Linked DNA regions of Mus musculus: all the other regions are reported to be linked to region 1. Evidence: microRNA targets listed by miRTarBase, many of them from high-throughput screens and not tested one by one. Region 1 holds a microRNA gene; each other region holds the end of a gene's coding sequence.
The links. The annotated mature microRNA mmu-miR-466p-3p reads AUACAUACACGCACACAUAAGA and lies in region 1 at 940-961, shown strand. An mRNA with a match to its seed (bases 2 to 7 or 8) in the 3' UTR can be bound and repressed. Matches are read on the target gene's strand: a 7mer-m8 pairs with bases 2 to 8, a 7mer-A1 pairs with bases 2 to 7 and ends in A, and an 8mer does both.

Region 2: the mRNA of Rbm47 is a reported target of mmu-miR-466p-3p. Seed matches in the 3' UTR shown: 7mer-m8 at 901-907.
Region 3: the mRNA of Ybey is a reported target of mmu-miR-466p-3p. Seed matches in the 3' UTR shown: 7mer-A1 at 2,420-2,426.
Region 4: the mRNA of Slc16a10 is a reported target of mmu-miR-466p-3p. Seed matches in the 3' UTR shown: 7mer-m8 at 1,634-1,640.
Region 5: the mRNA of Plxna1 is a reported target of mmu-miR-466p-3p. Seed matches in the 3' UTR shown: 7mer-m8 at 1,389-1,395.
Region 6: the mRNA of Zscan4d is a reported target of mmu-miR-466p-3p. Seed matches in the 3' UTR shown: 8mer at 732-739.
Region 7: miRTarBase lists Srgap3 as a target of mmu-miR-466p-3p. Seed matches in the 3' UTR shown: 7mer-m8 at 2,314-2,320.

What each region holds. Positions count from the first base shown.
Region 1 is chr2:10,485,538-10,488,619 of GRCm38, forward strand. It overlaps Mir466b-4 (microRNA 466b-4), which reads left to right and starts at 886; the gene lies at 886-975. All of the region lies in intron 10 of Sfmbt2 (Scm-like with four mbt domains 2), which reads left to right. It overlaps Mir467a-4 (microRNA 467a-4), which reads left to right and starts at 598; the gene lies at 598-680. Mir669a-7 (microRNA 669a-7) reads left to right here and starts at 1,116; the gene lies at 1,116-1,202. It also overlaps Mir467a-5.
Region 2 is chr5:66,016,599-66,019,680 of GRCm38, reverse strand. Rbm47 (RNA binding motif protein 47) reads left to right here. Exons shown (of 8, transcript NM_001127382.2): 8 at 245-3,082. The coding sequence ends at 475. Among named protein-coding and RNA genes, the nearest start is that of Gm40310, 7.8 kb to the right of the region's middle.
Region 3 is chr10:76,460,403-76,463,484 of GRCm38, reverse strand. Ybey (ybeY metallopeptidase) reads left to right here. Exons shown (of 5, transcript NM_172550.4): 5 at 166-3,082. The coding sequence ends at 252. 2610028H24Rik (RIKEN cDNA 2610028H24 gene) reads right to left here. Exons shown (of 8, transcript NM_029816.2): 8 at 2,267-2,998. Among named protein-coding and RNA genes, the nearest start is that of Mcm3ap, 7.0 kb to the left of the region's middle.
Region 4 is chr10:40,034,553-40,037,634 of GRCm38, forward strand. Slc16a10 (solute carrier family 16 (monocarboxylic acid transporters), member 10) reads right to left here. Exons shown (of 6, transcript NM_001114332.1): 6 at 1-2,852. The coding sequence ends at 2,620. Among named protein-coding and RNA genes, the nearest start is that of Mfsd4b1, 11 kb to the left of the region's middle.
Region 5 is chr6:89,316,617-89,319,698 of GRCm38, reverse strand. Plxna1 (plexin A1) reads left to right here. Exons shown (of 32, transcript NM_008881.2): 32 at 228-3,082. The coding sequence ends at 323. Among named protein-coding and RNA genes, the nearest start is that of 4930512J16Rik, 32 kb to the right of the region's middle.
Region 6 is chr7:11,159,410-11,162,491 of GRCm38, reverse strand. It overlaps Zscan4d (zinc finger and SCAN domain containing 4D), which reads left to right. Exons shown (of 4, transcript NM_001100186.1): 4 at 1-849. The coding sequence ends at 571. Among named protein-coding and RNA genes, the nearest start is that of Zscan4d, 5.2 kb to the left of the region's middle.
Region 7 is chr6:112,720,114-112,723,195 of GRCm38, forward strand. It overlaps Srgap3 (SLIT-ROBO Rho GTPase activating protein 3), which reads right to left. Exons shown (of 22, transcript NM_080448.4): 22 at 1-3,082. The coding sequence ends at 2,675. It also overlaps the pseudogene LOC108169181. Among named protein-coding and RNA genes, the nearest start is that of Gm26799, 22 kb to the left of the region's middle.

The DNA of each region.
Region 1 (3,082 bases):
TGAACATGCATATATATATATATATATATATATATATATATATATATATATATATATACACCCACACAACTAGGGACACATTCATGTGCACACAAACACACATGGCAGTCATCCATTTGATTTATACGTGCTTAGAGTTTCATTGAGTGTATATTCATGGTATAGGGAATAATGTCACTTATCAGATGAAAACCACTTGCCAGAGTTAAAAGTCTCAGGAGTTCAAATTCATGCTAACTTCATAATGAGTTAGAGATCACCCTGTATTTGTGTGATGGATCCTAGGTATGCACAAGTGCATATAATTGTGTGTGCACGTACATGTGTGTATATGATCATACATATAAATACACACACATACAAATGTATTCACACACACAGGCATGCACACTCACACACATAAGAATGACACTCATTGATCCATTTGAATGATTTATGTCTTAGAATTTTGCTGATTATAAAGTAGAGGGACAGTGAATATTCTCACTCACCAGGTGTAAACAATTGTCAGTGTCAGGAGGATCAGGAGTTCAATTTCATGCTTAACTTCATGAGCAGTTAGAGATCATCCTGGAATAATGTGATGGCCCCTATGTATGTGCCTGTGTGCGTAAGTGCCTGCATGTATATGCGTGTATATTTTATGCATATACATACACACACCTACACACACATGCACACAGACATGCGGGAATGGCCCTCACGGATCCATTTGAATGAAATGTGACCTACTGCTTTGGAGGTTATGTATGACTGGGCCAGGGTGAGGTCTCACAAACCACAGGAAAACCCTTGGTAGATTCGAGAAGATCAGGAGTGCAAGTTCATGGTAAAGGCATGATGAGTTAGAGGTCATCCTGGCATTCATGTGATTGCCCCTATGTATGTGTGTATGTGTTGATGTGTGTGTACATGTACATGTGTGAATATGATATACATATACATACACGCACACATAAGACACATATGAGCACACAGACACATGGGAATGGCACTCATCAATCCATTTGAGTGATAAGTGACTTAGAGTGAAAATGCTTGCTAGAGTTAAGAGTATCAGGAGTTCAAATTCATACTTATCCTCATGAGAGATCAGCCTGTGATTCCTCCATGTATGTGCATGTGTGTATAGTTGTGTGTGCATGTTCATGTCTATATTTGAATATACATAACATACACACACACGTATAAACGCAAGCACACATACACAGACACAGGAATGGCATTCGCCAATCCCTTTGAATGATAAGTGATGTAGAGTTTTAGAGATTATGCAATAGGGGGCATTGAATGTCCTCACTCACCAGGTGTAAACGATTGACAAAGTCAGGAGGATAAGGATTGCAAATTCATGCTTAACTTCATTTGGAGACATCTTGGTATTAATGTCATGCAACCCATGTATGTGCATGTGTGCTTACTTGTATGTGCATTGTATGTGTTGACATGATATACATAACATAAACACACGTGTATATGCAAGCACACACACACAGGAAAAAATTGCATTCATTTATACGTTTGAATGATACGTGACTTAAAGTTTTCAAGATTATGCAGTAGTGGGACAGTGAATGGTTTTACTCACCAGGTGTGAAAGATTGTGGATCAGGAGTTCTAATTCATGCTTTACTTCATGATGACTTAGAGATATGCCTGGGATTCATGTGATGCCCCCTATGTATCCCTATCTGTATCTGTTTCTATTGTGTGTGGATTTGAGTATATGGATGTACCTATCTACACAAATATATACATGTACACAGACACAAACAGTAACACACACACAAACATGAATGCAACTCATCGATCCATTTGAATGATATGTGACTTAGAGTTTTAAGATTCCTCATTACTGAATGGGGAGAGGTCTCACTCAGCAGGAGAAATCCCTTGACAGAGTCAGGTGGATCAGGAGTTCAAATTCGTGCTGAATTTTGTGATGAGTTCATGATCAGCATGGGATTCATCTTATGCCCACCAAAAATGTGCATGTGTGTATAGTTGTGTGCATATTCACTTCTCTATATGAATATGCATATACACACATGCACACACATTCATAGGAATGGCCAGAGCTATGTCTCAGTTAGGAGGTGAGCACTCTTGTCAGTGTCAGGATGAGGAATTCAAATTTATGTTTAACTTCATGATGAGTTAGAGTTCAGCATGCGATTCATGTGATGCCCACCAAGAATGTGCATGTGTGTATAGTTGAGTACATATTCACTTCTGTACATGAATATGCATATACTCACATGCAAACATACTCCCACGAATGGCCCGAGCTATGACTTAGTTAGGAGGTGAATACTCTTGCCAGCATCATGAGGATGAGCAATTCAAATTCATGTTTAACTTTATGATGAGTTAGAGATCAGCCCGGAATTCATGTGATTTTCCCTGTGTTTGTGTTTATGTGTATAGGTGAAGTGTGCGTGTACATGCGCGTATATGAACATGCATATATATATATATATATATGTATATATATATATATATATATATATACACACACACACACACACACACACAACTAGGGAAACATACATGTGCACACAAACACACATGGCAGTCATCCTTTTGATTTATACGTGCTTAGAGTTTCATTGAGTGTATATTCATGGTATAGGGAAAAATCTCTCTTATCAGATGAAAACCACTTGCCAGAGTTAGGAGTCTCAGGAGTTCAAATTCATGCTTAACTTCATAATGAGTGAGAGATCACCCTGTTTTTGTGTGATGGACCCTAGGTATGCACAAGTGCATATAATTTTGTGTGCACGTACATGTGTTTATATGATCATACATATAAATACACACACATACAAATGTAGTCACACACACAGGCATGCACACTCACACAAATAAGAATGACACTCATTGATCCATTTGAATGATATATGTCTTAGAATTTTGCTGATTATAAAGTAGGACAGTGAAGGTCTCACTCACCAGGTGTAAACAATTGACAGTGTCAGGAGGATCAGGAGTTCAATTTCATGCTTAACTTCATGAGCAGTTAGAGATCATCCTGGAATAATGTGATGGCCCCTATGTATGTGCCTGTGTGCGTAAGTGC
Region 2 (3,082 bases), not on the chromosome of region 1:
TGTATAAATCTCTGGCTCAACCTGCAGCCTCACGCTTTGACAGGAGTCTGAACACTACTAAGTTTGAGCGCATCAAGCCCTTCAAGGATGGCTATTTGCTCTGACTAATCTCTTTCTTCTGTACTGTCACTCACCTGCCTCCCTACCTTGATGTCTTCTTTCCCTCCCCACTGGGGTGCTTATTATTCTAATAGATGACGAACCTGCTCAGGAAGGACTTCAGTCTTGTCTGTTTGTCTCTCAGGGCCGTCCAATAACTCCTGTGTACACCGTGGCACCAAATGTTCAGAGAATCCCCACCGCCGGCATCTACGGGGCCAGCTACGTCCCCTTTGCTGCTCCCGCCACTGCCACAATCGCCACACTACAGAAGAACGCCGCGGCTGCCGTGTATGGGGGCTACGCCGGCTACATACCTCAGGCCTTCCCCGCTGCTCTCCAGGTGCCCATCCACGACGTCTACCAGACTTACTGAGAACGGGGGACCGGAGCCAAGGCAAGCCACCAAACCCCGCTGAAGGAACACTTTATTATTTATGAAGAAAGAACGTGTCGGGTTGGTACACGTGCAAAACCTGCAGGTGAAGAAGAATGTTATCAAATAGCACACTGAAATATTTTATTATATCCATGAAGTTTTCACTCGCTTTTTTTTTTTTTTTTTTTTTTTTTGAAAATGACTTTTCAACTTAGCAGGCCCGCGTTCATACATTTCTAAAAGACTTGCGACGCCTCACGCCTTAATGCCATCTCTTAAAGTTTGTATGCTCTTCTGCTTTTGTACAGAGGTTTGGTTTTTTGTTTTTTAAGGATATATTTTCAGTATGAAGGTTATTTTCTTAACTTCTGCACTCCAGAGTTTTCTATTTTGTAGAACCTTTCAAAGTATATCAGCTATATGTATGTATATCAAAAAAAAAAAAAAAAAAAAGCACACCCGCGCATCTAGGGAACTATTTTGAAAACTATATTCAATATTTAAAGACACAAACTGTAGTGCTCTGAAATACTACATAAAACATTATTTTATTTTTTAAAGTGATGCTGGAAAGTGCAATTTTAAAATGAGGAAAAAAAAAGTCTCTACTGTATTTCCACTGGCATTAAGGGTTGACGATAATGCCATTTATTCTTGTCATGTTTTCTGGGTTTATGGGGTTTTGGTTTGGTTTGGGGTTTTTGTTGTTGTTGTTGTTTTGTTTTGTTTTTAATAACACTCTGTTCTTAAGCCAACATGGAAAAGACTCCTCACATCCAGAGTCCCAACACTGGAAAGCTCTGACCTGCCCTCACTACCTTGGGCTCTCTCTCCTGAGTCCTTAGTAACTGTGCCCCGCCCCCGCCCCGCCGTGCCCCGCCCCGCCCTTCTCCTTCCCTAGCTCCAGTGCAACTTTGGCATATCTAAGAAAAATGGATAATTCCAATAGAGAAGACAACTGATGCCTTTTATACTTCTTCCTGGGATTGTGTTGGGGTCTTTTTAATTATTTTTGGTTTGTTTAGGGCGTCTTTTTAATTATCTTTGTTAATTATATTTGGTTTGTTCTATGTGTATCTTCAGTAGCAGAATACACATTAAGGACAAGATTTTACCATCTTTGCCTAAGGCATCTCTGCATAGCTATTTAATTGTTCAGTATGAAACCTGACCTTTCTAATTCTTTGACTTTTTTTTTTTGAAGTCTGGGTTTTTAGAGACCAAGAATGTATGTGATTATAGACAAGACTTGTCAGTGGGAAGTTAAGCTTCTCGCTGCCTTTCTTTCTCCTGTGTTTCCTACAGAATGCCTGGTGCCATCAGGGATGTCGGAAGCCCTGTGTTTGTTTAGCAGGGCTTCCCGCCGTTGCTCTGCATTTGGTAGGTGAACACGGGCAGGTGAACACGGGCATACACATCCAGGAGAAGTCTCTGTAGGAGTTTAAGGGTAGATTGTAAATAACTTCTGACGCTTGCTCGCCAAAGTTGCCAAGTTCATGGCCTGTAGTGTAATGCGAAATGCAGCCATTTTATTTCAATGTTATTCAAAGTGTTTGCCTTTTTTTTTTTTTTTTCTTTTTTGGAAGTAAATGCACAGATGCTGGGTTTTGTGCCTGTTTTAAGGCTTTTCTTTGGCAGAGTGAATGTAAAATACAGTAGAAAAGATAATATCGTCATCTCTTTTATGAATTATATCAACTTACATCTTTTTAAGAAGGCTCAGTCCAGGATGTGAGGTGTGCAATAAGGGTAGCAGATGCACAGTTGTGTTTCATGGCATGACAGAGTCCATCCAATCTCCCTTCCCATCAGAGTTTTGCTAATAGGCTTAACTCTTATTTGTGGACTAATAGTAGGATCTTGCCCTCAGCAAACGCTTTCTGCTTTTAAATTAAGAGAGTCCCAATTGTCTTTTTTTTTTCTGCCTCCCCCCCACTTTATCTTGACGGGATGGATTTTATATATATAAGAAATATTTATTTAACTATTCTATAGAATTATCGAGTGCCTGCTAAGACCTTTAAGCATCCCTCCTTCCTTATTGCGTGGTATAGAGCAGCTGGGAGAGTGAGAGGCGTCACTCGGGAAGCTGCAGCCACACGGGCCTGTTGGAATGAGTGACCTCCTTAAAGGTATCAGGTCCTCATCCCTTGACTGGTGAGGAAAAAGTGCCTTCCTGCCGGCCACGGACTGACATGGAGGTCTTCGGATGAGCCCGGATGCCCATGTTCTTACTGTATTTTACAAGTGCCTGGGGAAATATTTTCAAAAATAATATTAATAATTTAAAAAAAAGGAAAAACTATGCACTAACTTAACGTGGCGACTACCTTAACGGCAGGCGTTGGTGGCAGCCAGTTAAGCACCAGTGTCTCTGCAGTCTGTGGCCTTAGCTGTCCCTCTTGTTTCTCAACCATTTCACGTACACTACTGAGGTAAGTTTATAACTTGAAATGTGAACTTTTTTTTTTTTTTAGGATTAAGAACAAACTAATATAAATGTTTTTAAAAGTTTTAGTGTTTGGGTTTTAGTCATGCTACTAGTTTAGTTTTTAGCTTCGTATTTGAAAAGCTTTTTAGATCTCGCTGCATTTACATACAGTA
Region 3 (3,082 bases), not on the chromosome of region 1:
TACCTACAGCTCTCTGAGTCTCTGTTCAGGTGCTGCTGATAGACTTGTGCAGAGCCTGGGGGAGCGGCTAGGGGGGCTTCAGAAGGAGGTGAACCCTGGGAGGACTCGGACTCGGGACAAGGGTCCCCAGAGTCCCTCCAGAGCTTGTGCTCTGCTGTGTTCCAGATGTACAACCAGGAGAAGCTGGTGCTGGAGGAGCTGAGCCGCTACACGGGAGCTAGGCTCCAACCCCTGAGCAGGGGCCTCTACTGATGCCACAGAGCTTTGAGACAGAGAACTTGTTGGACAGAGTCCCGTCCCTCTGCAAGACTCCAGGGAGCCTCTGCTTACCAGGGAGCCCCTGAGTGGACCACGTGGAGCCGGAATAGATGCAAAAAGCAAGAGGAATTTTTGTTCCAGTGCACTGGGGTCTTCCCAGACCCGAAGGAGAGGCGGCGACCCCCAGCACCCATTCAGGGAGTTTTTATATGGTTTCCAGGGGCAGAAGAGAGCATCAGCAACTAGGCACAACGTGATTGGCGGAGCAGTGCACCCTTTAAACTGATTGGTCTTTAGGGAATGAAGTGACAAGGACGTCCCTTGTCTGAAGGTGTCCTGCAGGATGTGTCCCCACCCACAGGGCAGTTCTGCCCTAAGGTCTGAGAAATGTTAATTAGCCTCTTCCTTCTGGAGGGGCAAGTGTTTCATGACCTTCCCAAACTTCCTAAGCTGGCCTTTTTACCTCCACAGTGGATCTCTGCTGGTCCTGTTGCCCTGGAGGGCCTCAGCCCACACTACAGCTTCACTCTGTGAGTGGACCAAGTACCAAGGAAGTGCCTGTCAGCCCTTACTCTGATTAGAAATCTATGCGGACTCTGTTGTAAGCAGAATCAGGCGTTCTAAGAGAAGAAACATGGACGCTCTTGTGCTTCTTTGGGTTTCTAGCTGTAGAGTCTGGGCAGATTGCCTTGTCTCCCTGAAGTGGGAGGAACGTGCCAGAACACTGAAGCCTGTTCTCCTAGGAGGAGGCGCCTGCAGACCAGCAAGCCCAAAAGGACACCTTGTGCCCTCGCCTTTCTTAAGCTGTTGGCTGCAGACACCACGGGACAGCCCACAGACCTTGTCTCCTGGGGCCAGAGAGTCAGGAGTGTCCCCCATCTGTGTTGCTGTTTGTAATTGTTTTAGATGACCTTTATTTTATTTGGAGCAGGGCAGTGGTGGCACACGCCTTTAGTCCCAGCACTTGGGAGGCAGAGGCAGGCGGATTTCTGAGTTCGAGGCCAGCCTGGTCTACAAAGTGAGTTCCAGGACAGCCAGGGCTACACAGAGAAACCCTGTCTCGAAAAACCAAAAAAAAAAAGGATTTTATTTGGTGTGTGTCATGTGTGGGTACACATTTCCCACTGCGGGGGGTGGGGTGGTCAGCTGGGGGGAGATGTCTCTCTCGTTTATTATTTTGTCCCCAGAGATGGAACTCTGGTTGTCAGCCTTGCCATCCCACTGACATCCTGCAGGCCACCGTAGTCCTGCCACTGGGGCTCCCCTATTGGCTGTTAGAGGCATGGTAGTTCTGCTCAAGGCCTGGAACATGGAATTCTGGTGACCTGAAGTCTAGTTCAAAGCAACATGCAAATGTCTGTGCAAATCTGGATCACGAGAGTCTTCCCAGCAGGTAGCCAGGGACCTTGAACCTAGATAGGGTTTCCTGACCCCTCTGCTGGGTGTACCCGCATATACACCTATGCCAGCCTGTTCCCTTCTTCTCGGCCATCTAACTGGTTCCTCGCCTTTGAGCATCCTTAAGGAATGACTGCTTCTGTGCCCTTCATTTTTCTATTTCCCTTTTTCTCTGCTTGGTATTTCTGGTTTAATTTGGTGGGGTTTTTGGTTTTTTTGGTTTTTTGGGGGGTTTTTTTGTTTTTTTTTTTTGTTTTTGTTTTTGGTTTGGTTTGACCTTGCAGCTCTGGGCATGGAATCCAGGATCTTGTCAGGCTTGGCAAGGCTCTGCCACATTCCCAGCCTGTTGCTCAGCTGCCCTAAATCTGTGGGTTGGTCAGCAGCTGTCTCTGAGTCCAGCCACATTGTTATGATGACTCCAAGCCTGAGGGGGCACTATCTGCCCTGTTCCAGGAGGCACAGCATCCTCACTTGGGGCTTCCTCACTTTGTGTTTATTCCAGATTTCATTTCGTCCCTCACTTCCCTGAAGGGCCTGTGATGTTTTTTAATTTTTAAAAAAGATTTACTTGGGTATGGGGGACTTTTGGTATAGCATTGGAAATGTAAATGAGCTAAATACCTAATAAAAAAAAGATTTACTTATTTTATGTATATGAGTACACTGTAGATGGTTGTGAGCCATCGTGTGATTGCTGGGAATTGAACTTAGGATTTCTGCTCGTTCCGGCCCTGCTCGCTCCAGCCCAAAGATTTATTAATTATATGTAAGTACACTGTAGCTGTCTTCAGATAAACCAGAAGAGGGCGTCAGATCTCATTACAGATGGTTGTGAGCCACTGCGTGGTTTCTGGGATTTGAACTCGACCTTCAGAAGAGCAGTCAGTGCTCTTAACCGCTGAGCCATCTCTCCAGCTGGGGCCTGTGATCTTGATGAGAGTTTCATGGACTCTGTGGATTGGCCGCTCACACACTTGAGCCATCTTTAAAATCTCTGGGGCGTACTGTGCATCTTCTCAGAGTAAAGTTGTGCACAGTGGTGCAGTCCCTGTCACCACTGTTAAGGGGCATGGCCAGGAGAAGCTTTTCCCTGAGTCACTGGGGACCCCCTAAGCCCACTACAGGGCCTGCTCAGACTCTTTAGTCTCCCACAGGTGGTCCTCAGACAGCAGGCTTGAAAGGGACGGGGAAGACTGTGTGTGAGGGTGGGTCCATGTACACTCCCATAGCTTCCAGAGGCTGATGGTGCTCCCAGAGCCAGGATGCTCCCAGGCTACTTCCTCCTTGTTAGCCCAGCATTGCCAGGCCATCTGAGACAAAACATCTGCCAAATATCTTCCTTCTATCAGATCAATAATCATATGAGAGGAAAATCGTGTTAGAAACATCATCTAGGAAGGAAATTATGTGAGCTCTTTAACTGGTG
Region 4 (3,082 bases), not on the chromosome of region 1:
TTACTCCTTGAAGTGAGTCTGGCTGGCTGGGGCTTCGGACTGTTGGGAGAGCTCCCTACCTCTATGCCATATCCTCACCCATGAGTGATTTTAAACATCCACTCTGTGCTAGATACCCTGAGAAGGGACTTTTTTTTTAAAGTTACTCTGTTGGGAGGCCATGTTCATCACAAGACTGGATTTGATGATCATTTTCTTGTAAATAAACCTTAAATCATTAAGCATTAGCAACAATCAGACACTTCCATATATTCGAACTCAGTAATAACTTCATAGGCAAAACTTCTCAGATGTACAATATAAGCCCATGGAAGAGAGCCCACATGGTGGTGTGCCCGCCCTTGAACCCCAGCACTTGGGAGGCTGAGGCTGGCATGTCTCTGTGAGCTCCAGGCCTGCCAGGTCTACTTAGTAAAACTTTATCTAAAACAAGAAAGAAAAGAACAAGAAAGGCCAATATGGTTAAAATATTTTCCCTCCTGAAAGAGATCTTACTGCAAACAAATTGCTAAAACCCCTTTGTCAATTTAAAACAGAAGCACCTGTCGGCAGTGAGTGACGCTGGCGGTGACGCTGGCGGTGGTGGCACACTCTGGGATCCCTCTGTGTAAGAAGCTGAAGCAGGAGGACCTCAAGTTCCAACTCCCTGCTGGGCCACAACCAAGCCTGCTTCAAAAACACCTAAAAGAGCTTTGTGAGTTTGTTTGAGGCTAGCCTGGGCTACATGGTGAGTTCCATGCCAGCTTGGGTCTTCAAAATCAAACTTTTTGACACACATGGTAGCACACCGCTGCATCCTAACACAGGTCTGAAGCAACAGACAGGAGCTGAAGGCCAGTCAGATCTACTTAGGCTCCGCATCACAATAAATAAATAATAAATAAATTACAATTATTCAAAACCCATTAAAAGAACGTGTACACTTAGCATTTAGGCTGTGAGCTCTTACAAGACAATAGGTAAGCAAGCTGTAATTAAGAGGAAGAGCTTCCATCTTTCAACTCCTAGCCCCTCTTCCCTCCAGACCTCTACCCCCACTCCCAACAAAAATGAGTCTATACTGTCTCCAGGCAGCCCGCCCTTGACAGATGGAGAGAGGGAGGTCGGCCTTTTATATGCAACAGAAAGGGAATGCTGAGTAGGGAGATGATAAAATTAAGTCTCACCTTCCAGATAACTTAGAAACAGAAGGACCCTGCAAGTGCTTAGGAAAAGATAGCATTCTTCTCCCATGAACAAGCAAGCTACGTTCCACTCTAACAGTCATCGAGGCTAATGATTTAAGAATACTTGGCATTTTAACCTTTAAAGTCTAACATACAATTTCAAAGATATAACAGTGTGTTCCTGCTTTGATAAATGAGTAATGGGTCACGGCCCAACTTTGGTTTTAATTTTAGATCCTCAAAGCTTTCTTACAGTTGGGACATAAACGGGGGACAATGGAGGTAATCAATAAATAAATACTACACTAATTTTCTGGCCAAAGAAGAGGAAGGAGCATACTCGATGCTGTGCAGAAAGATTGTATCACCTAGTTACAATGGAGTCTCTCAGTCTGTGTACGTAAACTCCACAAGAGGCAGGCTGGGAAAGCACCGGCCGTCAGGCTCCTTGGCATATCACAAGACTGTACATACAAATGCAAAGTTTTGCTAAAAAAAAAAAATTTGGAAAAATTAGAAATTGGGCTTCTTATAAATATATTTAACATTTTAAAATCATTAGTTCCAAAAAAATCATTAGTTCCATAAATCAGTTTAAGCAATTATTTCTATCAGACATTTTCTAATGGACAGAACTTCCAATCTGTGTCCACTCCACCAGCTGATAATACGCTCAACAAAACACTCAAACATAGTGCTAATAAACCCAGAAGTCAGAAAAACTCTGATAAAATTGCCAGGATATCTTTTATACATTCTACTTCACTTTATTGTTTATATAAAATCAGAAATTTGGGGTGTTTCTGGCTACTGGAGTAAAACACACTACAAACCAAAGGGAACAAAGGTTGGTGGAAGAAACACCTGATTGCCGCCTACAAGAGGGCCTTTCTCTCCCCCATGTCCACTGTGGTAGCAGTAGCATCTGCTCCCAGGAGGTCCCTTGACTACAGCATGTAAGAACCTCCTAATTTCATAGCTTAAGTCATTTAACAGACTCAAGGTTTAGGTTGGCCTCTTATTATCTAGGATCTAGGCTTAAATTCCAAAAATGAAGGAGAAAGTAACACAGTGGAACAAAAGATACCAAGAGGGACTGACAAAATGTTTCCGGTGCGGAGGAGCCCGGAGCTGCCCACCCAGCGCAGCTCCAAGCACGTTCAAAGCACGCAGCAGCTGACAGCATCTGAGGCTGCCAAGGCTGCTCCTTCCTCGGAGCTCTGAACGCTCACGCTGGATTTCCAGACGTGCTTGCCTGTGACAGTCTCCCCCTTACTCGTGGGAATACCAAAGCTGCTTGGGAGAGAGATGGCTCTTGTCATAATAAAGGGCTCATGTCCCATTTGTGCTATTCCAAGGATGATTAAAAAAATAAGAAATCTGCAATTCATATAAAAAGGAAAACTGGCTTAAAATTCAAAAGCAAATCCCGTGAGGTGAGGTATGTACGGCATTAAATAATCGAGGCGGAGTCTTTTTTGAAGATTCCTGATGAGCCTGACAGTAGAGAGCTCTGGTTCTCCAGCATTTTCTCCATCTTCTCCCCTCCGGCGTTCTTACTGATCTTTCTTTGCTTCTTGCTATGGATCCACGGGATTAAACAGAGCACAACACCCCCAACGAAGGGAGGGATTCCAGCAAGGTAAAAGGCCACGTCGTAGGTGCCCAGCTTGTCATGAAGTAACCCTGGAAGAGCAGACAGCAGCCGTCAGACAGAGGAACAAGTCTGGCTCCCAGATCAGTCACACTGATCGCAGGCTCAGATCACAGATTTGAAATGTAAACGTTTTCTGATATGAGGAAGGAAAAAAAAAATCCTCTGATTTTAAATTTTACTGCAGAATACAGGTCATACCAAAATACCACTTGTGGAAAACATTTGCAACTAGGCTTTGGCATTCCCAAGCCTGTCAGAG
Region 5 (3,082 bases), not on the chromosome of region 1:
CAGCCTGTTGATGAGGGAGATGAGGGTGGAGGTAATGAGCTTGGGGGCTCACCCTCAAGTGCTGTAGTACTCTGGATCAGAACTGTTGGCACAGCTAGGAACTGGGAGTCAGACACACCAAGGTCATGTGTCTTGGTCCAGCTGCTTCCCTTAGAGCTTCCAGCCCATATCTGTGGGTAGCTAACCCTGACTCTGACCCTATCCCACCCCTCACCCCACCCTTGCAGATTCTGGTGGCTCTGGAGAAAGATGAACAGGCTCGAAGGCAGCGGCTTCGAAGCAAACTGGAGCAGGTGGTGGACACAATGGCCCTGAGCAGCTGAGCCCTGGAAGTGCCCACCCAGCAGGAGGCAGAGCAGGAGGGCAGCAGAGGACCCAGGAGACAGCCCTTGGCCCACCTGTACCAAGTCCAGGTGTGGGGGCTGTGGTTGGGTCCTGGCCCTCGCCTTCCTCTCCCTGCCATGCAGGGCCAATTCTTATCGCTGTGGATGTAAGGGTTCCTGCTGAGCCGCCTCTGTGCCTGGGGCTTGCTGCCGTGGGGCAAGGATAGCACAGCGTGGCTGGTTCTGCCCAGGGATATTTGCTGCTTGGCAAGAGCTGCTAGTGGTTTTCCTGAGAGAGAGGTGGCCTCTGAGGGGCCGAGATAGAAGGCCAGGCCCTCCAGAAGGAGGGCAGCAGGACAAGGGGCTGGACCAATTCACATTTCTTGGCTTCTTCAGCTGCTACCAGCAGGCAGAGTCTGAGGGAGAGGTGAGATACCCAAGGCTAGGCCACATAAGTCACAGCCTGGGGCTGTCCCACCAGCCTCTACTCTAGCACCCTGTGCTTGCCACCACCCTCAGATTCACCGCGTGCTCTGCGCGGCCAAGGCTGGAGTGCCACATCCTTCTGCTGGGGAGAGAGGCCCCACTCCCCTCCTATGGAGGGCCTGCAGACCCCACTTCCAAGTGACATGTGGACAATGGCTAGGCGAACCCTTCTCTGTCCTCAGGGCTGTGCCTCTGGGAGCTCCTGGTCCTGGGGCTCCAGTCAGAGTGCATGTTCCCGTTATTTATTCCCCGCCTCCTGCTCCTATCGCAGCCCACCACGGAGCTCTGGAGGATAACAGGCCACCGTCCCACCATCCTTTATCCTCCCCTCCCCTGATGTTCCCGGTGGCTTCCAGTCTGGCCTCTCAACGGTGTCCTGGCCCCTCTGCAGTGGGACATCTGGGTACTGCTTTTAAGGGAACAAGAAATCCTGTGGTATTTTGCCCTGGGGATGTGGGGGGCATTTCTGCCACCCTGCTGACCATGGGCAGTGACCCAAGGGACTGGAGGTCAACTGTGTCCACCTCTGCCCTCAAGGAGCAACAGTACGTTTTTAATGGACCCTGTACATATATATATGTATGTATGTGTATATATATATATGTGTGTGTGGCCCTGGCCCCAATGGGGTGCTGTACAATTATTTGAGGGAAGAGACACGGAAAGGCAATTCAGGAGGAACCCAGGTGGAAGAGAGCAAAACCAAGGGCCCTGGAGCTGCCATCTGATGTGGCCTCTACTTCCCCCAGATGGAAGAAGCCGCTGCCCACGATTCCGTGCCCCGAGCTTTGGGTGCAGAGCTGTGGACCTGCATGACTGTGCTAGCGTTTAGTCTGAGTTGATCTTTTCAAACTGCAAGTGTTGAATACTAGAGGTGGTTAGACCCTTTTTTTAAATGTTTTTTTTTTAATTAGTCATTGGAAAAGCAAGCAAGCGGCCTACTCCCTTTTCAAGTTCACCTTTTTGATGGTACTAAAGATTATAATGGATTTTAAGGGACAGCTAACTGTGGCCAGGACCATTATCAGTGCTGGGGACAGCACACCCCACATCCATGGGCTGCTAGTCTTGTGGTCCCTCACACTCCAAGCTAGGGAGCCGATGGGACAGGGTGGAGGTCAGATTAGAGCTGCACCTTTATTAGCTATGGGGCAGGTACAAGGACTCAGGGAGCAACTCCTCTGTGGTAGTCATGAGCCTAGACACCCTGGGCCATGAATTCTGGTCAGACTCCCACCCCAACTCTTTGGCTCATTCCCTGGGCTGATACTAGGGTCAGAGCCTGGATATAGCCGTTTCTCAGAAGCCCCTGTTGTTGCCTGGGGTTTTACCCATGGATATACCCCTCTCTTCCTTCTGATGCCTCCAGGCTGTGCCTGGGTGGGAGCCTCAGTTTCCCCTAAAGTCTTCCCTGGTTGTAGGCTTCAGATGGAAGCCCCCAGTTCTTCCAGCTCTGCCTGGAACACGCACAGCTTCTAGGCTCAATGCCTTCACTATCCAGCCCCACGTCCCCAGGCTCCCTCAGAATAGGCCAGCCTCACTTTGTCCTACAGGCCACCTTGCCCATGTGGGTGTCAGGTAGGAGGTGAGGTGGCCTGGAGCAGCTTCCCAGGGTGTTTGTTCGCAAGCACTTTAGCATTTCTGTTTACATGCGAACTGCCCTAGCTGTTCTTACCACGCATCTTCTCGGCACAGCCATCAGGGCCAGGCCTCATTTCCCTGCTACTTCTGGACTGGGCTCTGACATCTGCTTGTCCTTGGTCTTCTAGAGCCATCCATCTCTGTGGTATCCTGCAAAGGGTTCCGTTTCAGCCTCAATATGGCTTGGGGTTGGAGCCAACTGCACACTGGGTGGTGGATGCTCAGAGCCACCCTCTACAGGCCTAGGGCCCAGGGAGGTGGGCAAGCACTACTCCAGCCAGCCTGGCCCTAACACTCTTGGTACTGCCGTCCTGCCATGGGCCCCATCCCCCTTCCTGCCTGGTCTTTCCCTTTGCACCTGGACTCAGGAGTGCCTGGGCCATTCCAAGCTGGGCCTGGGTGCCTGGCCTCCACATGCCTTGGGCTGGCTCTGCTCTCCAGCTGCCCCACTCTCTTATGGTTGGACAGCTAGACAGAGCAGCAGGGGTGAGGGCCTTGATGTGTCCCCAAGAGACACTGCATTGAGTCCAGGCACAGGCCAGCAACCTCTGTTGGTTCAGAGGGGTCCGACTGCCACCCTCTACTCCAGTTTCCCCAGTTGGATCTGGTGGCTCACATCGGTGCTACACAAG
Region 6 (3,082 bases), not on the chromosome of region 1:
AGATATTCCTTATGGAGTTCCTCAGGATTCTACAAGAGCAAGTCAAGGAACATCTACATGCTTGCAAGAGTCACTTGGGGAATGTTTTTCTGAAAAAGACCCTAGGGAGCTACCAGGGTTGGAGTCTAGGCAAGAGGAGCCTATCTCTGATCCTGTCTTTCTTGGTAAGGATCATGAGGCAAACTTACCATGTGAAAGTCATCAAAAGAGATTCCGTAGAGATGCCAAACTATTCAAGTGTGAAGAATGTTCTAGGATGTTCAAACATGCCAGGAGCCTTTCGTCCCACCAGAGAACTCACCTGAATAAGAAGAGTGAATTGCTTTGTGTCACCTGTCAGAAAATGTTCAAACGAGTCTCTGACCGCCGAACCCATGAGATCATACACATGCCAGAAAAGCCTTTCAAGTGCAGCACATGTGAAAAGTCCTTCAGCCACAAGACCAACCTGAAGTCTCATGAGATGATTCACACAGGAGAAATGCCTTATGTCTGTTCCCTATGTAGCCGTCGCTTTCGCCAATCATCCACTTACCATCGTCACCTGAGGAATTACCACAGATCTGACTGAAGTATCTAACATCCTCAGCAGAGACTGGTAGGGCTTCAGCCTCAGTATGTCATCTTCAAAGAGAGAAGAATGTTGCAAGTAAATTGTACTGTCCCAATAATGATATAACATGCTTGTGGATTGCCACTTTTATGTTTTGTTTTTTATTGTGTGTGTGTGTGTATGTAATTTTTTGTCTGTAATTTCCATAGTTCCACAGCATAAGTTATTAGAATACTTTGCTGTTAATTCTTGAGTTGCTTCTTGCTTTTAGACAGTGTCTTTCTGGTTGGCAGCTTTATACACCTGTCTTTCTGGCACTAGAGTTTCCAAACATTTTCTGATCTCCACTTTTATTCTCTACAGTGGTCCTGACAGAGGCCTGCCATTCCCTCTGACATTTTTTAACATGTTGGGGTTTCATCCCAAGTCTTAGGGTTGCAAGTTAAATGCATTGCCTCTTCAGACATCTCATGTCATGTCTACTGCTTACAGTTCAAGAATATTTCTCTACATTACTAGAATGACGTTCAAAGTGGAATAATAAATAAAAAAATAATCAACAATTGCTCAGAGTAGTTTGGTGGGTCCTCCCCTACCTGTTCAATTATCATTCTCCCGACATTCTGTGTAGCTCTGGTTTCAGAGCACCTATGCACTTGGTTCAAGGAGCAGGATTTATGGATACTTGTCTCACATGATGAAAAATAGCTGACAAAAGCAAGTCTTTTTCCATGAATAACTTTCAAAAAACTAATGTTAAGAATGTGAAGTGGCATAAGAGTCATGTTGAGAAACAGGATTCTGTGCAGAGTTGAAGACAACAGGCACAGGCTAATTGAGTTGTTGGGGTCTGTGTATGTGCGCTTGCAATTCCCATGAGTTATGTAAGTTCCCATATCAGGTAGAAACATTGAGGATGCATTATGACTTTGCCACGATGTTCCTGGTGATACCTTTCAGCAGGCAATTAGAAGGCTTCAGTTTTAAAAGTACACAATGATCAGTATCCATAATCAGCTTCCAAATGCTGACACCATTTCATACACTAGCAAGATTTTGCTGAAATGACCCAGATATAGCTGTCTCTTTTGAGACTATGCTGGGGCCTAGCAAACACAGAAGTGGATGCTCACAGTCAACTAGTGGATGGATCACAGTGCTCCCAAGGGAGGAGCTAGAGAAAGGACCCAAGGAGCTAAAGGGATCTGCAACCCTATAGGTGGAACAACATTATGAAATAACCAGTACCCCGGAGCTCTTGACTCTAGCTACATATGTATTTAAAGATGGCCTAGTCGGCCATCACTGGAAAGAGAGGCTCATTGGACATGCAAACTTTATATGCCCCAGTACAGGGAAACGCCAGGGCCAAAAAAACAAAAAGAAAATGGGAATGGGTGGGTAGGGAAGTGGGGGGGAGTGTATGGGGGACTTTTGGGATAGCAATGGAAATGTAGTTGAGGAAAATATATCATAATAGATATATATTAAAAAAAGTACACAATGGCCTTAGCTGACATGAATACCAACACAAGTTATACATTTCCCCACCTAGGATTTTATTGCTGGCATTGCTTGTTCTGGACCGAGTCACCAGCATTTGGTTCTCTAACCCTTTTGATTTGCCTCGTTTTCCGGTCTTTATTTTTCTAGTGAAGTTGGATAATTTTGTTCCTCATTGTTTCAACATTAACGTTTAATGGATTTGAGTTTTTGGTTTAGTTTAGCTTTCTATATTTTGAGATTATAGCCTTTGCAGGATTTCAGAGGTTTGGATTAGCTTCAGTGCCATATTCAAATAAGGTTGCATCCTAAGGTTAGGGATTAAGCCTTGTACAGGTAAGCATCATAGGTAGAATTCAGATGATAACACTGTGCTATCCAGATATGGAGAATCCCTGCAATCCTTGTACCTGGCATCTGTCAGCAGGAACACTAGAATCCAATCATTCTCTGTTAAAAGACTCACAACATATCTTTCCTAAAAACAAAATGATAAAATAAATAAGTAGCCTACCATCATCACCACCACCTAAAACAGGAAAAACAAACAAACAAACAACACAAATACCAAAAACAAAAAAAACCAAACAAACAAACAAAAAAAAACCCTCAAAACACCATCTCACACAAACCTGAGAAAATGGTGTTACAATACCTTAATTCCAGCAGTGTATAAAGGCAGAGGCAGGTACTTAGGCCTGGGCAGGGCAGGTGCCTATACATAGGCATAGGCAGGGGCAGTGGCATATCTCTGATTCTGTGGCCAACTTTCAATAACAGGTTTCTGAACCTATGTGAGGAAACCTCATTGTGGCTAGATGACATGCTCATAAGGTTTAATGTCAGATATTTACATTACATTTCATAAAATTTGCACAATTATAGTTATCAAGTAGCAACAAACATGTCTTTGTGGTTGGGATTCATCCCAGCATGAGGAACTGCATTACAGGGGTGCAGAATTTAAAATGTTGAGAACCACTCTTCAAGAAGTTGAGAAAGAAGGGTCCAAATGGCTGAAATGTA
Region 7 (3,082 bases), not on the chromosome of region 1:
AGACATGCAAGGGGACCAGATGAAGAAGTGTGTTGGGGATGGGGGTGGACAGTGCTTTTCCATTTGTTCTGCATCAAAGCTCAGATTGGGGGTTGGAAGAGCTGGGGACTCATCTGCCATCTGTGTGTGTGCTTCCCTAAATGTGAATTCATCAGCCACTTGCCAATGGGGGAAAGATAGATGCTTAAGGAAAACAGCTGAGGCTCTGCTCTTGGGACATTTGGGGGAGAGGCAGTAAGGAAAATGAAATAAGTCAACCCAGAGACAAATCTGCACAGCGTAACTGGCAATAGGTGTGTCCGGTAATAGATTTGTAAACTCAATTTTGCTTCTATCTGGTATCCAGGCAGAGAATATTGCATTTTTGCCTGGGAGGTGAGTGGACTTAAAAATCTGGAAATAGCCCTGGGATACAAAAAAGAAGTCTTATCTCCCGGATGCATAGCAGAGATAGCAGATTCCTGGAAATGAGGGCTTCCTGAGCCCAATGCAGCCCACTAGGCCATCTGGCATATCTTGTGCAGGTCCCAGTCCTCCCACCCCCAGGCCTTACTGTCTTCAACTATAAAATGGAGATATCTTTATGTGCTCAAAAAACAGAGGGCCCATCACAGCAGGAGTTGAGAGGGAAGGGGAGGCTTGATGGTTCGGGCATCTTCCTGGCATTCTCATTTGGAGCCCATTCTTGATTCCACAGTGTACTCAGTGCTGATCGTACAGGCAAGGCAGAATGGGTGATTCTCCCCACACTCAAGGACCAATGACTCACTAGGTCCCTCCCTGGGGAAGCGGTCAAGATTCCTTTCAATGGAGGACCCAAGAAATGGTGGAAGTAAACCCAAAGGGAAGAAATGCCAAGGATGGCACTTCAAAGCATCTGTAGGTGACAGGAGTGGTGTAGCTATGGGTCACAGGGCTCCTGTGGGGGCTGTGACACAGATTCCAGATTGTGGATTGTAAAACTTGGAGGTAGGCAGAGAACCAGCCAGTGTGTGTGTGTGTGTGTGTGTGTGTGTGTGTGTGTGTGTGTGTGTGAGAGAGAGAGAGAGAGAGAGAGAGAGAGAGAGAGAAGAGGAGGAGGAGGAGGAGGAGGAGGAGGAGGAGGAGGAGGAAGAGGAGAAGGAGATATCCTTGGTTGGTTTGGCATGCAGAGGGAGAGTAGAAATGGTCCCACTAGGATTTGATTCGCCTGTGGTGCATTATCCAACAATTCTGGAAATATCTGGAAAATGGAGACAACAAAAAAAGCAGGTAAAACGGAATCAAACAAGAGCCATGCAGGAGGCTGCTGTGACACTACAGAATCACGTACCTTGTTTCTACCACCATGTTTGTCTACATTAACTGCTTTAGAAGGAATGGAAGAAGAGGAGGGGAAGGGAGGGTGAGGAGCACTGCCGTTTTCATAGCATCCCAGCCTACGGTGCTTCCTAGCACAGTCCTCCTAGGATGGAGGCCAAGGGATGGCTGGGCACTGGAGGCTCCAGCGGGGAACAGAGTGTGGACTGCTCTCAAACAGACATGATGTGACTGAATGCCTCCTTGCCCATTTAGTTCCAAATCTGACAAAGCATAATCAGTAGAACGAGGAGGAAAAAAAAAACCATTAAATATTTTGAAGATGAGAGAAGTAAAACTTGTACAGTCAGCACAGATTTGTCCCTACAGCACGTGTAAGGTTTGAACTACTCCATACTACTGTTTTGGGTTTTGTTTGTTTCCTCCTGTTCTCCCCCACACCCCCAACCACAGCATCTCACCATCCTGAGTCAGTATACAAACTCAAGGGTCTTCACACCAACTTCCCCTGTGCCTTCTGGGGGTACAGTTGACCTTTGGCCTCCGGGTGACAGGGCAGGGTCTCTAGGGGGGTGGGTGAAGGGTTTTCTATGAAGGGTTCCCCACCTTTAGGGGCAGCCTGCTTGGGGGTACTGCCTGCCCCACCCTTCCTTGAGGGGCAGACAGACTGTTCTGGAAGGCCACGACTTCTGGAGACAGCTGGAGACTGTTTCTGGTTTTGTGTCTCTGCAGGTTAGTGGTATATTGCTTCGTTCGCAGTTACTGTGGGGCCTCTAAGTTCTCCCAGAGAAGTCCCTGCAAATCCCACCAAGTAAGAGTGGGAGATGTTTGGTGGCATGGGTCTGAGGTAAATCTAAGTTTCATAAAAAGAAAAAAAAAAGGAGCGTCTATATACAGTTAGCATGTGTGTATGTCCAGCTCTCTAGTATATGTATATAGATGCATAAATATATATATATACACACACCTACAGACACATACGTACACATATGCGTATATATGCATGTATTTATATACATACACATATATACGTATGTAGAGAATATCGAGAGAATAATTTTCCAGTGACAATATGAGAAGCTGGTAAGCATCTGCCTCAATCTTAGGAAACACTGTCCTTGGGACTGATCTTGCTCCAGCATTCCTTGGCATGTCTGTTTGCCTACAAGAGGTCTGTGGCATTCACATGGCTGAGCGGGAGTTGCAGCTAACGCCTGGGCCTCTGCTCTCCACAGACATACACCCTCCCAGGCTGACCTTCCAGGATCTGCCCTCCAAGGCCAGGAGATCCCTGGGAAGCTAGTGGAAGCCACTAAGGCCACCCTAGGCCTTGGTGTGCTGCAGTGGGCCATGGCAGTGTCACCAGTCCTGCAGGTCACATGGTGCCAGACTTGTCCGAGGAGCTATTAGGGAACATCTTCTCCGTGGGTGTCACTGCCGGGCTGCCCACACCTGAGCTGCTGCTGCTGCTGGATCGGTGCTGAACCACAGGTCTGACCGGACGCATGGGGGGCGGACGCAGCTGGGCACCAGCCAGGCGAGCTGACAGGGCTGGCTTGAAGGTGGTCATCATCTCCGTCGATGAGCTGCTGCTTCGGCGCATAGCAGCATCAGGGTCTCGGATGACAATGGTGTGCAGGGGGCTGGCGGGCTCTGAGCTGATGGGGCCTGGTGGATTCTTCAGGGGCTCCAGGGTGTCCAGCACCACATCTGGTGCCTGCTTGACAGTGTTCTGTCTCTCAAGTTCCCGCAACTCATGCAGAGCGGTGCTCATGGTCTTCTC